Linked DNA regions of Chlamydomonas reinhardtii. The protein of the gene in region 1 interacts with the protein of each later gene in a pairwise test. Links are inferred from orthologs where the notes say so. Each region holds a gene or a part of one and is shown in the gene's direction. Other genes may lie near its edges.

Region 1 (6,131 bases):
GCTCATTGCGCGACACCGCCTGGTGCGTGGCTGCTGGGGTGGCGGGGGCACGGTGAGGGGCTGCGGGATTTGGGGCATGGGCACCGAAAATGGGGCTGCTGGGAAGGGGCCTGCGGCTCTGGGGCTGGGACGGGGAGCCGTGTGGGCGGACTGGGGCAGTGGCGCTTAGCAGCCCACTTCCAGGTCAAAGGTTTACGGCAAGGGCATTCAAAGTATTACGCCGGCAGCACCTTGGCACCAGCTTGGCAAGGCCGATACGTATAGCTGCGCAAGCGTAGCTGAGGCATGGGTCCGACCGGGAAGCTTTATCACAACAGAACACACATGACAACCAGCTTCCCATCACACGACCCGCTTTTTGGCCTGGGGGAGGTGCCGGGCCCAGCCGGGGCCCACCCCCGGTCGCCTGACACCCGGCCTCTCCAGGCCATCCAATGCAATCCCAACCAGACCCGGACAGCTGCGGCGTGAAAGCGGCAATGGCGGCCGGGCGCTACGTGTCATCAGCAACCGGGTGTGGGGCGGGCGCCAGATGCCAGTGTGTGTGGGCCTTATTGCCGGGGGGACTGAAGAACAGCAAGTCAACAACCACCTGTCCCTTGCTGCCGTGACTGCCCTTGGAGTACGTGTCAGGTCCCCCCTGGCCTGAGTCTGAGATAGAGTCCCAGGCAGTCGCTCCTCGTAGTCACGCCTTGCCGCATCGTCGCACCTACTGCGTGCATGGTCTGATGCTCCAAACCACTCCCCTTCTGACATGGGTCCGAACGGGAAGCTTTATCAACTTATGAAAACGAACAGCTTCCCACTCCCACGACCCACCTTTTGGCCTCGTGGACGCTGGAGGCCAAGCGGGGCCCACCCCCGGTCACATACCCAGACTTGAGGGTCAAGACTGCCCCGCCCGTTCCCAAAATCCCAACCAACCCCACACAACTGCAGCATTTTCCAACGGCGAAGCTAGACCCGGCGTCTGACGTATAGCTAAGCTAGACCCAGCGTATGGCGAGTAGCTGGCACCCGACACGGGTAATGGAGCCGGTTGTGGCAGTGTGCGCTGCCGAGCAGTCAGCGCGGAGTGAAGGACGGAGCAAAGGCGGGTGGGGACGGCATCAGTGACCGGGGGTGGTGCGGGCGCCGGTTGCCAGTTCGTGGCAGCCTCAGTTACCGGGGAGCCTCAGCAGCTGGTCGGTGCAAGGGATGAGCAGGGGGATGGGCGTACTGCAAATAATGCCAATGCTTGCCTCCCAAACGCGACGCAGAACCCAGTACCGTAATGTTACATAAGTGCAGAGAAATGTTACGGATGCTCAGCGCGGCCTACGAGAGCTGCTGGAGGCATTGTTTGCAGCTAGTAGGCAGGGGTGGCGGGGGCACGGTGTGGGGCTGCGGGAATTGGGGTATGGGCACCGGAAATGGGGCTGCTGGGAAGGGGCGTGCGGCTCTGGGGCCGGGACGGGGAGCCGTGTAGGCGGACTGGGGCAGTGGCGCTTAGCAGCCCACTTCCACCAGGTCAAATGTTTACGGCAAGGGGTTGCCAGCAGGCCGGTGTACTTCAGGGGTGGGCCATTGGGCTGACATGGTCAGCGCCGGCGTGCCCCTCGCCGCCTCTCAAGATGGCCCAGCCGGAGCACTGCACTCGGTCCCGACGTGGGTATAACAGCCACCGCCGTGACCCGTTACACCCGGCGTAGTCACATCAGCACGCCTACCTACTGTCAGCAATCGGCATGCACTCGGACTCTAAACCACTGCTCTCCTGGCATGGGTCCGAACGGGAAGCTTTATCAACTTATCAAAACGAACAGCTGCCCACTCCCACGACCCACCTTTTGGCCTCATGGGCGTTTGGGGCCGAGTGGGGCCCACCCCCGGTCACGTGGAGACTCGGGGTTTGAGAATGGCACGCCCTGTACAGTTACAACTCGAGAGGACTGGTAATGCTGCTCCTGCGCAATGCAATGCGATGCAACTGTGCCAGTCACCTTACTGTACTATGCTTTAGCGACAAAGGCAGTGGCGTCGTGAGCCACGGCCCAGGGCGGACGGCGGAGATAAGAGTCACACGCGGTCACTCCTCGTAGCCATGCCTGACTTACCACATCTGGACAAATTGTGGACACCTACTGCGTGCATGCTCTGATGCGCTAACCGTTGCTCTTTTGTCAGGGTCCGAACGGCAAGCTTTATCAAAGTTAAAACGAGCAGCTTCCCACTCCCACGACCCGCCTTTTGGCCTCTATTGGTACTAGGGGCCAAGCGGGGCCCACCCCCGGTCACGTGGAGACTTGAGACAGACTCGCCCTGTTCAGTCGGTTGTAAGGCTACTTCTGTGACAGGCCAGTCGCGTAAATTAAGATCCGGCGGTGACTGCAACACGAGGCCCCGGTGCGACCAAGGGTGCAACACGGCGACAAGGAGGTGCGGCGTCAGCCTTTGGGCCGCCGGCGGCCAGGCTGTTGACTGGGGCCCAGCTGGAGTGGGCGGGGCGTTGGGGCCAAAGGTAACCGCGGGGAAAGGTGTAATGTGTGTGTGTGCCGCGTGGGGCCGTGGGCCATGGCAATGCCCTCACATGAGGAGGACAGGCGCGCAGCCGCGCAGCTTTCGGAACGTCATGCGTGCCGGATCACCTCAGCAACAGCTTGGCAAGGCCGATACATATTGCTGCGTAAGTGTAGCTGAGGCATGGGTCCGACCGGGAAGCTTTATCACAACTGAACACACATGAACAACCAGCTTCCCACCACACGACCCGCTTTTTGGCCTGGGGAAGGTGCCGGGGCCCAGCGAGGCCCACCCCCAGTCACACTTGGCAGCAGAGCACGCAGCTGTGCCCGCACTCCTAACAAGCCTCTCATTACCATTCCGTGCGCCGTGCATTGGTCTGATACCGTACTCAACCGCACCCCCGCTGCGGCCCCTGCACAGGTGAATGACGCCCTGAAGGCCGAGATGGCGCACATCCACGCGCTGTCGATCAAGAAGGCACAGACGCCGGCGCAGGCGGCGGCGGCGGCGGCCCCTGCCAGCAGTTGATGCGGCGGCACTGCCACGGCCATAGACGCACACCGTGTTGGCCGCTGCCTTGGCACCGGCATGGTGGCTGTGTTGAGGACGAGGGTGATCGGAACTTGGTGTGGTGTGTGCAGTGTGCCCTGACTGCGCAAGCGACATGGCGTTACGTTATAGTTTGGTGCTGCTTGGCACGGTCGAGTGGATGCCTTCGTGCCCGGCAGGCAGTATTGGGGCGGGGGCATTGCGGGTGGCGTCTTCTGTCTTGCTTCCCACTTGCCGCAAGGAGGGCCGCTGGAGCAAGGGTGTGGAGTTACGTTGGAGCAAGGGTGCGATATGACATTGTGAATCTCGTCAGACCGTCATGGGATCAGGATGCAAGAGGGATTAGGTGGAGTGATAAGTAGAATGCGTGTGATGCTGATTGCACAGGAGGGAGGAGGGGGGACGGTCGCTGGGGTGACCGGGGGTGGGCCTCGGCTGGGCCCCGGCACCTTCGCCAGGCCAAAATGCGGGTCGTGTGGTGGGAAGCTGGTTCTTCATGTGTGCTCAGTTGTGATAAAGCTTCCCGGTCGGACCCATGTCACACAAGCGCTTACGCAGCTACAGGTGGCAGCGTTGTCGTTGTGTTGCTGAGGTGATTCCGGCACGCGTGACGTTCTGAGAGCTGCGCGACTGCGCGCCTGTCCTCTTCATGTGAGGGTCACTGCCATGGCCCACGGCCCCACGCGGCACACGCACACAATACATCTTTTCCCTGGTGACCTTTGGCCCCAACGCCCCGCCCTCTCCAGCTGGGCCCCAGTCAACAGCCTGGCTGCCGGCGGCCCAAAGGCTGACGCCGCACCTCCTGGTCGCCGTGTTGCACCGGGGCCTCGTGTGGCAACCACCGCCGCCTCTGTGTGGATCGATCAGGTTACGCGGCTGGCCTTTAACAGGAGCAGCATCACAACCGCCTGAAGTCTCCACGTGACCCGGGTTGCGCTCCGCTTGGGCCTCAACGCCCGTGCGGCCAAAAGGCGGGTCGTGGGAGTGGGAAGCTGCTAGGTTTTAGTTCGATAACGCTACCCGTTCGGAGTCTGACAAAAGAGCACTGTTTTAGATTTAGAACTCCATGCGTGCAGTAGGTATGCTACTGAGCTGTAATGGCAAATAAGGCGGTGGGGACCAAGTGAGTGACCGCACGGCGCACGCACCCCACTCCCACCCCGTTCGCACAACTGCGACTGCGCGCTGAACTGGACGTTGAGAATGAGACGATAGCCGATAGCTGAGATCAGGGGTTGTGTTCCTTGCAATGGGACGGTTGAGTCTGAGACTACAGCATCCGCGGCCTTTCAGGTTCCCGCCGCAGTCCAGGCGCCGCGCCCCACCCGCATGGAGCCCAGTGCGTTGGCGACCAACTTGTGCTCCCGGTTGGAGCTTGTCAGGGGATTCGTATTCATGCCATTGCTTTACAGCGAGTTCAAAGCGTAGCCCTCGCTTCTCCTAAACATGATGCATCCCTGTCTCGAGCCTGTGGGTGCTCCGTCCCTGTCTTATTAAAGGCAACTCCTCAAACCTCCTGTCTCGTCCGCTGCCCGTTCATTAAGCATTGACTTGACAAACACTACACGCACACATACACACACATTCATCTGTCCAAGCAGACTTGTGACGGGCACTAGCGTTGACCGCGCCACGTACCAGTCCGGATTGCGGCACGTGGGTGTGAGACACGCGGCCGTGCACTGTTCGTGCGGTCTCCTGTGAACCATCCGCCGTCAGCTAATATAGCTGCCGACTGCCCTATCGAGTGATCACACGGCCTCGCGCTTAAGGCATAATACGCACACGCGTTTCCAACTGCCTCGCGGGCCACACCATCATCAAACACGTCAGTATTGCGTCGGAGGGGGCGCCACAGCAAGCTCCCCAAACAATCACAGGTCACACTGCGGTTTGTGTCTTTTCCTAGGTTTCATGGGCGACATACATACTCACAAAATCACTGGTCATTGAAGGAACACGTCCAACCCCGTTTGCTGTCGATTGCGTACGCTCAGGTATTCATCGAGCCTATTTCACCCTGACCGCCGAGGTGAACGCATCGTCACTCAAACCGTCCCCCCAAGGCCTTTCATCACACGCATGCAAGTTGGTTAAAACCTCCAGTCGCAAAGTTTGTAGGCAACAGCCAGACCCCGGCATGCAGTAAGAACCGGACACGTTGGAAGGGCGGCGCTTGCTCATGCGAGCAAAAGTATACTAGTAAGCAAACCGTCTCCACTCCGCTCCAGAGGTGCGATGTAGGAACATAAGTGTTGCGCAACCCCTTTCCGGGCTACGTTTACTCCCCCCCCCCCAGCACGATACACGCGCACAACAAGCCCTGTCCTCGCCGCGGCGCGCCAGCAAGCCGCTAGCATACCCGCCGCAGCAGAGCCGCTCCTGCTGCCGCCGCTTACATGTGCCGCTTCGAGGAAATCTTTGCCAGCGTCTGCTCGGGGTTGGCTCCCCCGAGCGCGGCCGCCGTGTTGGCAGCCAGCTTCTCCGCGGCCTCCCGCACGCCCTCGATGGCGGGCGCAATCTCCTGCTGCACCTTGGGGTCCAGCTCGCCCCGCGCCTCGTCCAGGTGCAACAGCACGTTCTCCACCGTCTGCGCGGCGCCTTCCACGTCCGCACCCTTGGGGTTGCCCGAGTGGCGCGCCATACCCGCCTGCTTGAGGTTGGCGGACACGCGGCCCAGGTTGGCCGAGGCGCGGCCCAGGTTGGTGGCCTGGTCGTGCTTGATGGCGGCGTTGACCTTGGCCTGCGCCTCCTCCACCTTGGCGGCCAGCAGCTTGCCCTCCACCAGGCCCACCGAGCCGCGGGCAAGGGGGTCGTGCCTGTCGTCCACCTTGTTGGCGTCACGTTTGTTGATGGCCATCTGCAGGATAGCAACAAATAAGGAAAGGGAAGGGAAGATTAGAGGCGGAGTCCCGCTCGGTGCGGCGTGAAGGATACGGGTGTGCGGCAGCCCCACCAATTGCTGTTTATTACGGGGAGATGAAATTGCGCGCGCAGCCCAAAAGCACACTGCCGTTTTTGTTGTCCCTCCAGACCCAGTTGCTGCGCTTACCGAGGTGTTGATGTCGAACCAG
Region 2 (7,058 bases), on another chromosome or scaffold:
GTCGCCGGCGGCAACCACGAGCGAGTCGCGAGCGGCCTGCACCGCGGGGTGTAGGCCCGAGCTCTGGCCGCGGCCGAGCGTGCCGGTGGCGGCGCTGGCAACGGAGCCGGCCGCGGCGGTGCCGGAGGGCCGCGGCGGCGGCGTCATGAGGCCTGACGCGGCCGCGGCGGCGGCGGGCGGCAGCGCCGGGGGCAGGGGCGGGGAGAGCGAGTGCGGCATGCTGTTGCCGAACATGTGTTTGTGGGGCGTGGTGACAGTGATGTTCCAGCAGTCCAGCTTGTCCTCGCGCGCCACAGCAACCTGGGGGCGAAAGCGACAGAGGAGACCAGAACGTGGCGCCAGGGTGGCGCGAAACAATGTGCGGTATTGCGCAACATGCATGAAGATTCATGCCCCCCGCAGTAAGACGCCCTTGGGTTGCGCAGACCAATCAATTCGGGGCATGTCCACTTGTCCAGCCGTGGCGGTGGCGGATGCGGTAATACCAGCCGGCGACGGGGCGCCACAGAAACTCACCGAGTTGAGGGTCTTGTACGTTTTCTTGTGCCCCTTCATACACGTGGGGTCATAGGCGGGACCCCACATGAAGGTGCGCGACAGGTCGTTGCCTGGAGAGGAGAGGAAAGGCGGCCGTCAACACATGCTTGACCGTGCGCGATGTTATAAGTGCACGACAAAAAGTCGGCACATGAACGGTGCCTGACCAAACATGACTGTAACATCGCCACCCGCCCTTTCCTCATCCGTGCGGTTCAGACGCCACCTTAATTACTCACCCGTGCCGAGCGGGATCATGGCGACGGGTGGCTCCGGCTGCAACCGGAGCTTCTTGATGACGCCCATCACCCAAGCAATGGTGCCATCGCCGCCGCACACCAGCAACCGCAGCCGCTGCCTCACCAGAGTCGCCTGTGAATCGCCCGCAGCTTCCTGCGGGTTCCCACGCAAGGGCTGTGTGTCAGGGGCGGCAATGCATCCTACGCAGCGTCCCTTCGGTCACAGCAGCCATGCACGTAGGTTTTCGGTGCCTGTGCACCAGCTTACCTGCGCATGACTTGAACCCCACCTCAGCCGCCGCAAGGCCTACCTTGCCCCACTCCGCCCAGCTGCCGTGCCCTCTCTCAGCTGATACGCCATGCTGAGCCAGCATCATAGGAGCGCCCGCTACCACCGCCCAGTGATCCAACAGCAACCCAGGACCACGGCGCTGCCCCCAGCCTCACCCGCGTCCTGAGCACCTCATACAGACGGCCCAACACCCGGTCCGGCCGCTGGTCCTTCTCAGCGATGTCAAACACCTGTGGCGCAGCGAGATAGCGGTGGCGGGCAGTAACAGTTTGGGAAAAGGACCGCAGGGCACTTAACATTGTGTAGGGGCGCGCGCTTACACGGCGGGGCGCGGAACCAAAATTCGAGGCAGGTGGGAGGTGCTCCTTTACTCCGCAGCCTTTCTAGAGCAGGCCGACAATCAGCGTGGCCCTGAACCGGTGTGCGCCCTTGCCACCGCGTTATCCATGAGTGGTCCGTCCAACTCGCCGTCCACCCGTTGCCACAAGCACACGCACGCGCATCTACCAGAAGACAATCAGGCTGAAACTGCTGTGCCAACGCGCGTTTCCCCAGTCCTCACCTGCACACGGCCGATAGCTCGGCTCAGCGCCAGCGCTAGCTCCATGCCCTTCCGCCCACCCGAGCGCGCGTTCACAAAGCACAGTAGCGGGCATTCGTGGATGGCGTCCACGGCATCCGGGCGAATGTGCTCCAGCAGCGCGGTTGGCACACTGTCATGCAGCAGACAGCAATGGGCATGACAATTCAACGCGGTCGATGCCCGGCGCACGCAGCACCCGCGTGCTGGCCAGTACGAGTGGTGCCCGGCCCTTCTTGCCTTCCCTGTTGCTGTGTCTGTTCCCTGAGCTGCCCCTGTTGCTGTCCCTGTTCCCTGAGCTGCCCCTGCCCTGCTCCTAGCTCATACTTGTAAGGCGCTCGAAGCGTGTCGGCAGCACGCCAGTGCTCGTACGCACGGGTATCCAGGGGCGCCGCTTGCACCTGGCACGGATTGGCGAACATGCACCGTCCGGTTACCCGCTGACAGCGCCTGGCTGAGCGCCTGGTTCTCGTTCCCGCCTAGGCGCGCCGCGCCGCGCGGTGCCAGCCGCTCCGTACCGCATATCCCCCAGAGGCTTCCACAAGCCCAGCGTATGTGCAGGCTCAGGCACATTCGCTAATAAAACAGAAGCAGAAACTGCGGCCCACCTCGGCGGGTGTCGACATTGCGCTGCGCAGTCGTTCTGCCATATTACCCGGTATCTGTTGGAAAGAGCTTTAGATGGAACAAGAAAGATGTGCAGCAAAGTCACAGCGCGATTCTGTGCAACACTCTGCCGGGTCAAAGGCGTTCGCCAGCCCTGGTCCTGTTATCACAGCATATCGTCGGGTAACAGCTTATGTGCTTGAAGGTATTAGATACGGAGTCCGTTCAGACACGGGAACCTGGAAAATCACTGCCAAACTTGCATGATGAGGATGGGCATTCTTGACAGCCCCTCAAAGCTTTCCAAGTTCTTACCGACTACAGTCCTACAAACCAAGCTAGCAACATTAGCAACGGTATTAAAGCAGCAAAGCCTTCCTCTTCGCTGGAATTGTGAGAAAATGCTGGCTCGCGTTGCTATCGGCTCGCTTTCGAAAGCACGGCAAGCAGGTACTAATATCAATGTCATATTAGCTCCATTATGCTGGTTAAATGAAAAGAACGATTTGGGGAATGACCCACGCGTTGCACTGCAGCTGCGTTCTCCCCGTCGGCGGTGCTACAACGATGCCTTGCGACCGATGCCGACTCGCATGATGACTTTAAGCCCAAGCATGCGGCCCCCGCCACGTCCGCGAGCGTGGACGACCAAATTAAGGCTTCCATCGCCAAGGACAAGGTCCACGTCTTTATGAAGGCACGTCCTAGCGGCCCAATTTCCCCCACTCTGCCGAGTAAAGCCAGGGGATTGTAGAGGGGTGCGCATCCAATGCAAGGATGGCAAGGGGGAAAGCGCCGGCCTAACCACGCCCGTTCCGCTGGCCGCTGCTACTGCTTCCTATCCACTGCAGGGCACCCCCGATTCTCCCCAATGCGGCTTCAGCCGCATGGCCTGCGTCGTCCTGAACGCATATGGTACGTGTGCACCAATTGTCAGACGCTCCATTGGCTTGTTGCGCTGCAGTGGCATGTACTGTTGACGCCGGTGCTACCGTACTTCGGCACCGACGGAAGATGGTTGAATCGCATGCTCTTCGCTTCGCAGGTGTTCAGTTCGGCGCCACCAATGTGCTGTCGGACGCGGAGGTGCGGGAGGGTATTAAGAAGTTCACCAGCTGGCCCACAATTCCTCAGGTGCGTAGGGGTGCGCTTGCCCCGCTCTGCAATCAGTACGACACTGCGCCATACTGCATGCCTGTTTCCAATACCTTGCAGCTCCTGGCTTGGATTGGTTGGTGGACACGTTTCGGGAGCTTGGATGCAGCAGGGTTTTGCCGGGGCCGCAGAACGCAAAGCATCCCAGTGCACGCAAAACACACGTTATCAACCGACGATGCCACAGGTCTTTGTCAACGGCGAGTTCATCGGCGGGTGCGACATCCTCATGGGCATGCACGACAAGAACGAGCTGGAGCCGCTGCTCGAGCCCATTCGCAAGGAACAGGCGGCCGCGGCTAAGAAGTAATGGAGATGCAGGGGCTGATGGAAACATGCGGAGCTGGGGAGCAGACTGAGATTTCATGGAGGAGGGAGGAGTCCTGGATGGGTGATGGATGGACGCGGCTGAGAGGCAGAGCTTATATTGCGGTGTTTCTCTTGGAGTGGCTTAGCTTGGTGGGTAAGCATGCGTCAACATCGCTTGGAGCAGCGGCAACGGTCAGCGTCCAACGTCGCAGGGGGCGTCGGGTGGTCATGGGAGCTCACGGGGTGTCACTGTTGCCAACAGGGTGGAATGAAGTGTTAAAAGGGCCGGTGCGCAACACGGACATTTTCGTCATTTGGAGGGCTCTACTTGTCGTGATGGAGGAACCTGCAGAGTGAGATGTGGGAAGGGGGCCTACTTCATTTAGGTTGTTGCTGGGTGGGGGGGGGGGGGTCGGGTGGCGGTTGTGGGGCCTGGTGAACGTGTGGGTTCATGCTCGTCGATGAACCGAACGGTAGCTGACCCGCAAACTCATTGACAACCGCGATGCTTGTAGATATACAAACTCTGTAGGTCAATTGAATGAGTACAAAGGCCAGCAATTGGGCCGCTAGCACACGCATGCTCCATCGACAAAGCTGATAATTGCCTTCGACCTGAGGAGCCCAACCTTAAAACTCCAGAGACCTGTCAACACAAATGGGCCAAGGCGACGCACCGCCAGCTGCCGCTGCAGCAATGCATAGTTACGCGCAGACGTTGCCAGGCCCGTCGCAGCCGAGCTACGGAGCCTATCCACCTGGCGCATACCCTCAAGGATACCCAGGGTATCCACCACCTGTGAGTGCAGCGTCGACTTCGTATCGGGCGTTGGGAAAGTTGGTTGACAAGGGCCTTCAGCAGCTAGCGCGGTTCCTCTCATGTTGGCGTCGTGCGAGCGATTGTGCTGTAGGGATGGTTTCTGCCAAGGGTAGCCGGGGTCTGCCAGTGGGTGCGGGTGCCGTAGCCGGTGGGCCCCGGCACAGGGGCACGGCAGGGCAGACGGCACTCGGCTTGGGTTTTTTTGTTCGCTTTAATATCACCACGGGCTGCAACGGGCTCTCTTTCCCCCGCCGTAGGCTCCTCCTGGCAGCTACGCGCCTGCACAAGGACCGTATGCTCCCCCTGGCCCGCCCTACGGCCCGTCTGGGTATCTGTATCCCGCGCCGGGCCAACCTGTCATGGCAGCACATGTGCCCTACCCGCCTGGCACCATGATGATGGCAAGTCCATGTACCTGAGGCCGTGCGCCAGGGCCGGTCGGGGTTGGCGTTAGAGTTCTAGAAGGGGAAGCAGGACTGCAGTTCCGTGTTTGTGAAGGCTGATGTGTACGCGCGCCCTTCAGGTCGCCGTGACGGCACCTGCGGGCCCCGTGTCGCTGCCATCATACTGGCCGCCCTACCCCATTGAGGTCACGTGCCCGGGCTGTCGGGAGAAGGTCCAGTCGGTGGCAATCAGGGCGCCAGGTGCGAGCGGGAGGGGCAAGCCGAGTGCGCGGCGCGCTCCACGTTTAATGGCTGTGCACTGTTGTAAATGGTGCCTAGGGGATGCAGGCGGTTGTGCATTACCTGTGCACGCTCAGCTGCCGTCTTGAAACCGCCTGCACTGTGCGGTTTAACACCTTGCCTGCTGCCCGCTCAGGTCTGGGCACGTGGCTAATTGCGGGCGGCATCTGCTTGGTGGGCTGCGGTTTCGGATGCTGCCTTATCCCATTCTGCGTTGACAGCTGCAAGGTACGTTGTCGCTGACAGTTTCGACCGGAGGTCATGCTGCGCACCCATTAGGCTGACACGCAGCGGGACCTAGCTGCTCGCCTTGCCCGTCTTGGCTTCGAACGTATAACATGGCCATGCCCGCGGCCCGCCTGCAGGATTGCACGCACTCGTGTCCCAAGTGCAACCGGTTCCTGGGGCAGCACAAGATGGTGTAGATGGGCACGATGGGCTGATTGCGGGCGGCATCTGCTTGGTGGGCGGCCCAGACAGGGCGGCCACCTTTCGGGCGTGGGCTCATCAAGGCCGAGCGCAATCCAGCGAGCGATGAGTTGGCGCTCTGTTTGCGGAGGCAAAGGTGGGTTGTGTAGGTTGTTGGTGACGTCAGTGGGGGAGGAATTTGGGGCACGTTTCTGATGTTCGTACTGTGCGGTATGTGCCAGCCGTACAGTACACATAATAGCTTTGACATGATGTTGTTTGGCACTTGTTAAGCGTAGTCGTTTCATATGTCCCCTTGTTCTTCATGAATGGGACATTACAAGAAGGGGCACCGCACCCATTCCTTATGGCGCGTGCGTGGATGCAACACCAGAGCGTGCAGTCTGGTACAAGGACGGAGGCACGCATGGCGTGGCGTGTACCGGTATTGATAGCTGCTTTTTTGGCTCCGGAGCCCCGTCCTAAGACGAGCGCGCAAGTGCCCAGCTGGCTGAGCGCCCTCTCGCGCCGTAAGAGCGACAGCTCTGAGGGGTCCCATGGGGTGCGCTTGTCGGGCGCCGGGCTTCGGCACCATCCTTCTGCCAAGAACTCGACTATGCGCGGTAATTCGCAATCTCCAGACGCGTCGAATGAAATCCCGTTTCCTTGCATCCTGCGCAAAGATGGTGTTGTTGTACATGTAGTTGGTGTGCGATGAGATAGTGTTAAGGCAGGTTGGCGAAGTCCCGTAGGATGCAGCTAATGCCCAGACCCCAGCAGATGGCAAACAGTTTGCGCTGGTCGAATACCGGAGCTACTGTACCAACAAGTTGCTGGCTGGCTGGAAGTGCGGTGTGCGGTTTAAAATGAGGCACGCGCCGTGTCGCCGCCCCCCTGGCCCAGGCCTGGAGGCGCCCGTGTGGTGCCCTTTCAAAGCTCACCGAATCGAGCAGCGCCGGCCAGAGCCTATGGAACTTATGGATGCGGATTACAAGTAAGGGACAGCCCGACAAGCAGGGGCACGCGCACGCCATACCCACGCCGCGAGGGGCCATGCGACCCAAAGAGACAACACCCGCCCCCTGGTTGGCTGCCGACCTTCATAGTGTTACGCACATGAGTCGAAGCCAAGCCGAAGCCCGCCAAAGCCCCACCGCCACGTAACACCCCTCATCTCGTTTAGGTTTTTTATGATGTCCTTGTCCAGGGGGTTTCGGCGTGGGACACATCGCACACGTCGTCACGTCCAACACATATGCACTGTAACAACGCTGCCGATGCACGCTGTCCACACAACACATGGCAGAGAGTCTAACGGGGGATGGGCCCGGACTAGCACGGCTGTCGCTCCCTAGTCCTATAGAGCACTGGCATTTTTAGAGCATTTCGGTGACCCACATTATTGTGGGCCAGGGTCTTGCTTCTTGCG
Region 3 (7,768 bases), on another chromosome or scaffold:
CCCCCGTGCCGCGGCCCTCGGGCAGCAGCTCGGACACGGGGACCAGCGGTGCGCCCGCCGCCGGCCGCGGCTGCTGACTCGTGCCGCCAACTCTGCGTGCCGCTGCCTCTGTGTCCGCACGTGCGCCTGCAGCTTCGACGCCTACGTAGTTGTGAGGCGACCCTGGCTGACATCCCGGCAGGCCGGCACTGGCGGCCGCCGCCACACCCGGCCCCACCCCGGCCTCCAGCGCGTGCAGGCCGCTCCCGGACATGTCGTGTGGGCCGGACAGAGAGCCCACGGTCAGGGCAAGGGCAGGGGCAGCACCGCGCCCGCCCGCCCCTGCTCCACAGTCGGTCATGCCGGGGTCGGTGTTGAGGCTGCTGCAGCAATGCAGGCCGGCCGGGGTGCGGCGAGAGCCGCCAGCCGCGGCAGGCGCTGTGCCGCCTGCTGCTACAGCCGCAGTGCCCGCCACCCCCGGGTACATGTGCGCCCCGGCCGAGTCTCCGGCCCGCACCCCGCCGCCATCCACCAAGCCCACCGGACCCAGCAGCGGCGACACCGCCCCCTGCGGAGGCTGGGAGCGCCCTGGTGCCGGCGAGGCGGCGGCGCCCGCGCCTGCAGGCACAGGTGCCGAAGCACCGTCCGGCGCGCCTCCAGCATACACCCGCGCCGACTGCGCTCGGCGCCAGGGGCTGTCCACGGCACCTTCCTGCGCCCCTCGCGCCTTCGTGTGCGGCATGCTGCTGCACCGCCCTGCTGTGGTGCCGGCCAGAGCCGCGTCGGCCGTCGACCCGGAGCGCTGCAGGCCCTGACCCTGACCCTGGCGCTGCTGCAGCTGGTGCTGTAGATGCACGTTGTGACTGGACGCCCCCAGGCCAGATCCCTGCCCTGCCCCCACGCCCACGATACACGCGGCGTCCTGCGGCAGGTCGTCGCCCTCGCTCACCTGCGGCAGCAGTGGCAGCAGGGCATGCGCAGCCGACCGCCCGCTGCCGTCGCCTGGCCCGGCCACGAAGGCTGCTGCTGCTGCTGCTGCGGTGGCCGCTGCGGATGGCTGCCCCCCCGCCCCTGCCAGCATGAAGGCGGCGCCGGTGCTGGCACTGCGCTTCAGGGAGTAATAGGGCGAGGCCAGCCCCGGCCCCAGCTCCTTCAAGTGTGCCTGCACCGTGCCCCCGAACACGGGGCTGGTCGCGCCCGAGCTGCTTCGGTGCAGCCGTGGCGTCCCCGCCACCGAGCCCACGGCGCCACCCAACTCCGCAGCGGCGCCGCCACTGCCTGTGCTCCCAGCGGTGGGGCTGGTCCTGCCAGGCGGCGCCAGCGCCACCAGCAGCTCCGCCGCCGCCACCAGCGCCACCAGGTGGCTGGCGGCCGCCGCCGCGCAGCCCGCCAGCCCGGCTCCCGATGCAGTGGCGGCTCGTGCAGTGAAGAACAGCGCGGCCAGCAGCAGCTGCCAGAAACCCAGACTGGGCACGGAGCCGCAGCCGGGGGGTAAGGCATCGGAGGAAACAGCAGCGGAGGACGCTGAGTGGCCACCTTTGGGGGTGCCCGCACCGCCCTTGGGGCTGCGGCCGGGGCTTATGGGGGCGGCTGCTGAGCGCTGGGGGCAGGGCGGCGCATGAATGAGCACTGCCGCCGCAGCCACCAGCGCCAGCAGCGTGGTCCAGGCGCCCGTGTACGCACTGACCCCGCCCAGCAGGCAGCCTGCGGTGAGCAGCAGGCGCACGAAGTGAGGTCCATGAGATTAAGAGCGAGAGCAGGGCACGAAAGATTGAGGCAAGCCGCGGTGCCAGGCGCCGGGAAACAGACCATTGTTGTGACCGCAAAGCAGGCCTCCGTAGAACCCAAACCCGAGTTCGTGCGACGAGCTTCCGTAGTACTGCACTACTTGCATCCGTTGATGATCGAGGAAGAAGCTGCTACGGAAACCTCGCTCACCCAGCGCCGTGCCAAGCAGAACCTCGGACGAAGAGGGCCCAGCGGAGGAAGAGATGTTGCAGGTCCCGCCGGAGCTCCGCTGGCCTCCACAACGCAGGATGAACAGCAGCGCCGCCGCTGCAGATACAAGCTCGTATTTTTTGAGTTTCCACAGGATTGAAGGGCTCGCTGGCCGCAGACGGCCTGTGCCGCTTCGCGGGGTCCACATTTCCGAGCCTCCCAAAACCCCACGTTCCCGCGCATTCCAGCAGCCCGTAAAACGAAAAACACGCAAAGCATTGTCACGTGTGCATTGGGGGCAGCCGTGTAGAAAGCGCAGCCCCGTTCAAGGAACTGGAGCTGAGCTGCCCCCACACACACGCCAGTCCGACGCCCCTCGCTTCTTTCACCGTTCTTACCTGTAAACGCTTCACACCATGGCTGTCCAAGTGCATTTCCCAGCACATATTTGCCGGCGCAGCTGGAGAGCAGCAGGAGGCCTGCGCCGAGCAGCAGCGAAACTACGCCTGCTGAAGGCCCAGCCGCCATTTACAGAATGCTAAATGTTCATCATAGCCGCAAACATACGCCGACAACACGGGTTTGACCTGTCATACAGGCCTGGAGCAGCTTTCCCTTGAATGCGCGGGGTAGTATGGTTCACAGGGATGCTACCTTGTTAAGGCATAGACAATTGATACAAGTTTGTGGAAGCTCGCTCTCTGAGTTTTGATTCCATTTTCTCATGGGACCTTGCAGCGCTGCCAGACACACGCCGGAGGAAGCTTTACCACGCCCCTTCACTTGTTAAATGAGTGCTCAAACTACATCGAATTTATACAGTTGTGTCAAGTATTGTTTCGGCGCGAATCAACGCAGATCGCCCCTCCCGTGGTTTTAGGTCCTTACTAACTCATAAATATGCCGCTTCAAGATGTGAAGTCTGCGGCAGACGTGGCGGCGGTGGCGAGCTCGGGCAAGCCGGTGCGTACGCTGCGTCGCTGCAGATTCTTTCCACGAGTTGTTGCGACGGCCAGAAGCTTCTACCACGAGCTTCGCGCGCGTGTCATGTCAGCACAAGAAGAATGATAAGATGACATTCATGTGGAATGACACTGCGGCTCCCTTCTCCACCTTGCCAACGTTGCTGCCTGCTGTTCGCCCGCCCCCCCCCCCCCCTGCTTCCTGCGGCTCGCAGGCGGTGCTGTACTTCTGGGCCAGCTGGTGCGAGCCCTGCAAGCACATGGACGCAGTGCTGGGGCAGCTCGCAGCAGACCTGCCCGGACTGGCCTGCTTGAGGGTGAGGCCGGCGCGAGGGCGATTGGGGAAGGGGTGCGGCCGTAGTAGCCAGGGCGCACTGCGGCGTGTTGTGCGCCGGCGGCGGGGCGATGGAGCTGGTTGCGGGTTACGGTGCAAGGTGGGCGGGGGGACGAAGATGTCGGGCCCATCGTCGGCGCGAGTAGTTGGGAGCGACGGGTGAGCGCAATCAGACTTTGCGGCCAGCGCCACACACGTAACAGCGCTACCTCCTTACCGTCAAGTCGCTCCTACACGCATGATTGGGCCGCTTACCCACCCTGCCCCTGACACAAACAAACATTATCCCCACAGGTGGAAGCTGAGGTGGTGGATGACGTGACGCTGCAGTACGACGTCACCACCGTGCCGTACTTTGTGTTCCTCAAGGTCAGCGAGGGAGTGGAGGGGGAGGAGGGGCGGAGAGGGGAGGGCTGGATGGATGTGGAGGATGCTAGGACGCAGCCTAGTTCGCGGGTGCGCCGCAAGGGATGGGCCAGGGGGCCTCCAAGTCAGGTGGGGCAATGGCCAGCACGGGACGAGGGGCACAAGCGACAGCACCGCCGGCTGACAGCCGCCCCCCCCCCCCGGCCCCCCGGCCCCCCGGCCCGCCCCCCTGCAGTCTGGTGCGGTGGTGGACCGGCTAGAGGGGGCCGACCCGCCCGCACTCACCGCCAAGGCCACAGCACTGGCACGGGGGGGCCAGGCAGCCACCACCTCCGCACCCGCGCCTGGCGCCACGCCTGCCGCTGGTGCCGGTGCTGGTGCCGCCGCCCCCGAAGACAAGGCGGCTGTGTTCGGGCGCATCTCCTTCCTGCTCAGCAACTGGCCGGTGAGCGGAAGGGAGGGAGGAGGGGAAGGAGGGAGTACTGGGCAGATGGGCTGGAGGATGGGGATGGGGATGGAGGGAGGATGGTCAGCGGCGCTGCACGGGAGTCCCCGGGCGCGTGTCCGGCCTCAGGCGGCGCTTCACCGCCACCCCGCCCCGACCGCGGTGCAGCTTGGTGGTTCCCCCGTGCCTCTGAACTGCCCCACGAGGTCTCATCACGACCCCATGCCTCCGCCCACCTTCTCCTAACGAGTCATGCCTGGACCCCCCCCCCTCCCTGCCCAGGTGGTCTTGTTCATGAAGGGCTCGGGCGAGGCACCCCGCTGCGGCTTCAGCAGCAAGGTGGTGGCGGCACTGCAGAAGCTGGGGGTGAGCGCATGAGGGTGTGCGCGTGTGTGTGTGTGTGCGTGGAGGGTGCTGGGTGGGGTGCTGGTGGGGAGGGGCGGGCAGGTGGTGGTAGGTGGTGTAGGGGTGCTTGCGCTGTTGGTTGATATCACGAGGGTGGCTTGGGAAGACGGTATAGGGATGGAGCGCGTGGGGACGTGCTGTGGTAGGGCCGCGGGGGCAGCTGCCTGAAGGCCATCACGCCACAGTGGTGAACACGTGCCGCGCTCGCCTGGTGGTGTCGCTCGCCTCCCCCCCTGCAGGTGGCGTTCAAGTCGGTGGACATCCTGTCTGACGAGGCGGTGCGCCAGGGGCTCAAGGAGTACAGCAACTGGCCCACATACCCGCAGGTGTGTGTGTGTGTGTTTGTAGGGGCGCGGGGTGAGGTGTTTGTTCTGGCCGTGCGCGCGGGAAAGCAAGGGGGCCTAGGCCCGGACCTAACCGAGGACCCTTGGGAGCTCAGCATCACGACCTGCATGCGCGGAGGGGATATGGAGCATGGGGGGGAGGATGCCGTGGTTTCACGAGCAAGCAATATAACCGGGGGGGAAGTTGACGGACGAGTTCCAGTCCTTGTGCGGTCACCCACCCACCGCGTCACGCTCAAGGTACACCGGGAATCGCCTTTCAACCACGCCAGCCGCTTCCGCCCTTGCCCACTCCTACCTACGCCACACCACCCTAACCCCCACCTAACCCAACACCGCAACCCCTCCACCACCACCACCACCACCACCACCGCAACCCCTCCACCACCACAACCACCACAACCACCACAACCACAACCGCCACCTCCACCACCTCCACGCGCTACCGGCCCGCAGCTGTACGTGAAGGGGGAGCTGGTGGGCGGCTGCGACATCGTGCTGGAGATGGCGGGGTCGGGCGAGCTGGAGGCGCTGCTGCGGGACAAGCTGGGGCGGGACTTCCAGGCGGTGGCGGCGGCGGCCGTGGCTGCAGGTGGGGGTGGACAGGGGTAGGGCGGGTTGGCTGGGGAGCGGGGTGGGTGACTGGGTGGGTGAATGGACGCGGGTTTGCGCTATTCGCTGTCGTGAAGCCAGCTGCAGGACCTGTGGTCCACTGCCAGTGGTAAACCATGTGGTGGCCCGGACGGGATGCCGCGCCTGATGCTCGCAGGGTCCTCCGCAGCCCCCGCTGCTGCAGCCCCCGCTGCTGCCGCGCCCTCTGCCGCTGCCCCCTCCTCTGAGGACGCGGGTGCGGTGCAGGAGCGCATCAAGGCGCTGCTGGCCGGACCCAAGCCCGTGAGTGAAGCGGCTGGGGAGGAGGGTTAGATTACGACAAACCCAACTCAACCCCGACCTGGGGGCTGGGGGTGGGAGGGTTGGGAGGAGGAGGAGAAAACCAAGGGGCGTTGGGGCCTTTGGGCTGTGGGGTGCGGTGCTGAGTAGGCACAGCTGGTGCACTGCAGGTATTGGCTTGCTTGGTTTGCTTAGGGGCTGAAGGCGACAGAGGGGCGGCCGACACACTGCCGTATTCACTGCGTACCCCTGCCCTCCTCGCCGACCCATGCACTTCACTCTACACGTCTGCCAACCCCTCCTCCCGCCCGCCCGCCCTGCCGCCCTCCCGCCCGCCCGCCCCCCCCCCCCCCGCCCCCCTGCCCCTCCCCTTGCCGCCTCCTCCAGGTGATGCTGTTCATGAAGGGCAGTCCGGAGCAGCCCCGCTGCGGCTTCAGCAGGAAGGTGGTGGAGGCGCTGCAGGTGGGGGGCGGTGGGGGTTGTAAATACCAGCCCAAACTAAACCAAAACCAACTAAAACGAGCGGGGGGATGGACAGGGCGCGCAGGTGGGCTGGTGTGCACGTGCAGCCTAGTGCAGGCTAGAGCCCTCACGTGGCCTGGGGCTGGGGGCTGGGGCTCTGGGCGCCGAGTGTGTGACCGCGGGTGTAACTTTCGGTGCTTACCAGTGTACCGCAAGCACCAAATCGTTTGTGCAGTATCATGATGTCTCCCCCTAACGCCCCGCCCCGCCGCAGTCTGAGGCGGTGGATTTCGGGGCCTTCGACATCCTGTCTGACGAGGCGGTGCGCCAGGGGCTCAAGGAGTACAGCAACTGGCCCACGTACCCGCAGGTAGGTTTGGGGGATGGGTGGGGACGGTGGTAGGATTAATTGTTGCGGACCGAACCGTTGGGGAAACCGATGTGGGCCAAAGGCTGGTGGACCGCGGTCGGGGCCTGGCGCTGGGGTGTACGGTACCACGGGGCTGCAGGTACCTGTCGTACGCGCGAGCCGCCGTGCCTCCAGAAACCCCTGCACCTCTTGCCCCGTCCGCCCCTACCTACTCTCCCCGTGCGTGTCCTGACACATGACCTTCCTGCTTTCTTGTTGGGATTATTGGGACCCCCACCCCCCAGCTGTATGTGCGTGGGGAGCTGCTGGGCGGCTGTGACATAGTGCTGGAGATGAAGGCGGCGGGGGAGCTGGGCAGCACAGTGCAGGTGAGAGGTGGGGTGTGGGGGGGGACCAGGGGGGAGACGATGCGGTGTGCAGGTGTGGCGTCAGGGAGGAGGCAGCATGTTCAGAGGCGGGGAAAGGTCACAGTCAGCGGCTTGTCGACGGGGCTGCTCAACGCTTCTGATGCCATCACATTGGGTGTTGTTCACGGTTGCAGTCGTGTAATGGACGAAGCATGAAAACTTGCATATTGAACCGCTTTGGCGTTGGCACGAAGACACTCCCAACAGCCCAAGCTCGCATGTATCCACATGTGCACACACGCGCATCCTGCGTGCGCCCATTCCACGTGCTTTCCAACACACGCACACGCATTGATGACTCCCCTCGCCGCCACCCCCATCGCGCACCCCACCTCCGTTGCCCCTGCAGGAGATGCTTCACCGCATGGATGTGGCGTGAGGCGGTGTGCGCGCGGACTATACGGCACTTCGGTTACATAGATTCATGAGTGGCTGATCATCTTGTCCATGCTGGGTCGACCAGCGTTGCATCTGCTATTCATATATACCAGTGCATTATAGGCACGCTCACAGTGTGGTGTTATGATAAAGCGGGCGTGTTAAGGCAGATTTTAGAAACATGTTCGCGCCAAAGCGCACTCGCGCCTACCGAACGCGCTCCGCTGCAAAAGAAGAGTATGGCAGCGCTCACAAGGTCTGGATCCCTGAAGTTGTGGAACGCATCGCTGGCTTTTTGCCCCAAAACGAGGTGGTTCTGACGCTGCGGCTCGTGAACAAGGCGACAGCAGAGCTGCTTTCTGCTCCACAGCACAAACGGATTCAGGTGTCTCAGGGCCTGCCAAAGCACGTCTACGCATCGGTCCCAGGCATGGATGCACCCTACCGATGGCCCTTCACGCGGCGCCAGCAGCTTGTTTGCGGCGCA

What was found.
Region 2: the proteins of CHLRE_03g164550v5 (region 1) and CHLRE_07g325600v5 interact in a two-hybrid assay, tested with the Arabidopsis thaliana proteins (2 studies listed by BioGRID). The link is inferred for Chlamydomonas reinhardtii from reciprocal best matches to the Arabidopsis thaliana genes AT5G09830 and GRX4.
Region 3: the proteins of CHLRE_03g164550v5 (region 1) and CHLRE_04g232602v5 interact in a two-hybrid assay, tested with the Arabidopsis thaliana proteins (2 studies listed by BioGRID). The link is inferred for Chlamydomonas reinhardtii from reciprocal best matches to the Arabidopsis thaliana genes AT5G09830 and GRXS17.

Annotation. Positions count from the first base shown.
Region 1 is NC_057006.1:3,073,035-3,079,165, forward strand, and holds the end of CHLRE_03g164550v5 (uncharacterized protein), read left to right. Parts: coding exon 1-22; intron 23-2,925; coding exon 2,926-3,033; 3' UTR 3,034-4,167; downstream 4,168-6,131. Other genes in the region: CHLRE_03g164600v5 (uncharacterized protein), read right to left, coding at 5,453-5,917, 6,110-6,131. UniProt on the Arabidopsis thaliana protein: May act either alone or in interaction with glutaredoxin as a redox-regulated transcriptional regulator, or as a factor regulating Fe-S cluster biogenesis. The GRXS17-BOLA2 heterodimer binds a labile, oxygen sensitive iron-sulfur cluster.
Region 2 is NC_057010.1:1,688,284-1,695,341, forward strand, and holds CHLRE_07g325600v5 (uncharacterized protein), read left to right. Parts: upstream 1-2,568; 5' UTR 2,569-2,655; coding exon 2,656-2,704; intron 2,705-2,790; coding exon 2,791-2,951; intron 2,952-3,105; coding exon 3,106-3,169; intron 3,170-3,299; coding exon 3,300-3,388; intron 3,389-3,596; coding exon 3,597-3,719; 3' UTR 3,720-4,190; downstream 4,191-7,058. Other genes in the region: CHLRE_07g325550v5 (uncharacterized protein), read right to left, coding at 1-300, 517-608, 777-930, 1,224-1,298, 1,631-1,781, 1,976-2,049, 2,257-2,298; CHLRE_07g325650v5 (uncharacterized protein), read left to right, coding at 4,377-4,517, 4,796-4,939, 5,062-5,182, 5,358-5,449, 5,587-5,646.
Region 3 is NC_057007.1:4,041,106-4,048,873, forward strand, and holds CHLRE_04g232602v5 (uncharacterized protein), read left to right. Parts: upstream 1-2,600; 5' UTR 2,601-2,817; coding exon 2,818-2,880; intron 2,881-3,094; coding exon 3,095-3,196; intron 3,197-3,507; coding exon 3,508-3,582; intron 3,583-3,814; coding exon 3,815-4,024; intron 4,025-4,306; coding exon 4,307-4,390; intron 4,391-4,668; coding exon 4,669-4,755; intron 4,756-5,229; coding exon 5,230-5,365; intron 5,366-5,542; coding exon 5,543-5,667; intron 5,668-6,051; coding exon 6,052-6,126; intron 6,127-6,400; coding exon 6,401-6,496; intron 6,497-6,780; coding exon 6,781-6,864; intron 6,865-7,252; coding exon 7,253-7,282; 3' UTR 7,283-7,632; downstream 7,633-7,768. Other genes in the region: CHLRE_04g232502v5 (uncharacterized protein), read right to left, coding at 1-1,683, 1,918-2,034, 2,316-2,445; CHLRE_04g232702v5 (uncharacterized protein), read left to right, coding at 7,712-7,768. UniProt on the Arabidopsis thaliana protein: May only reduce GSH-thiol disulfides, but not protein disulfides. Participates probably to the maturation of iron-sulfur proteins and to the regulation of the redox state of the BOLA proteins.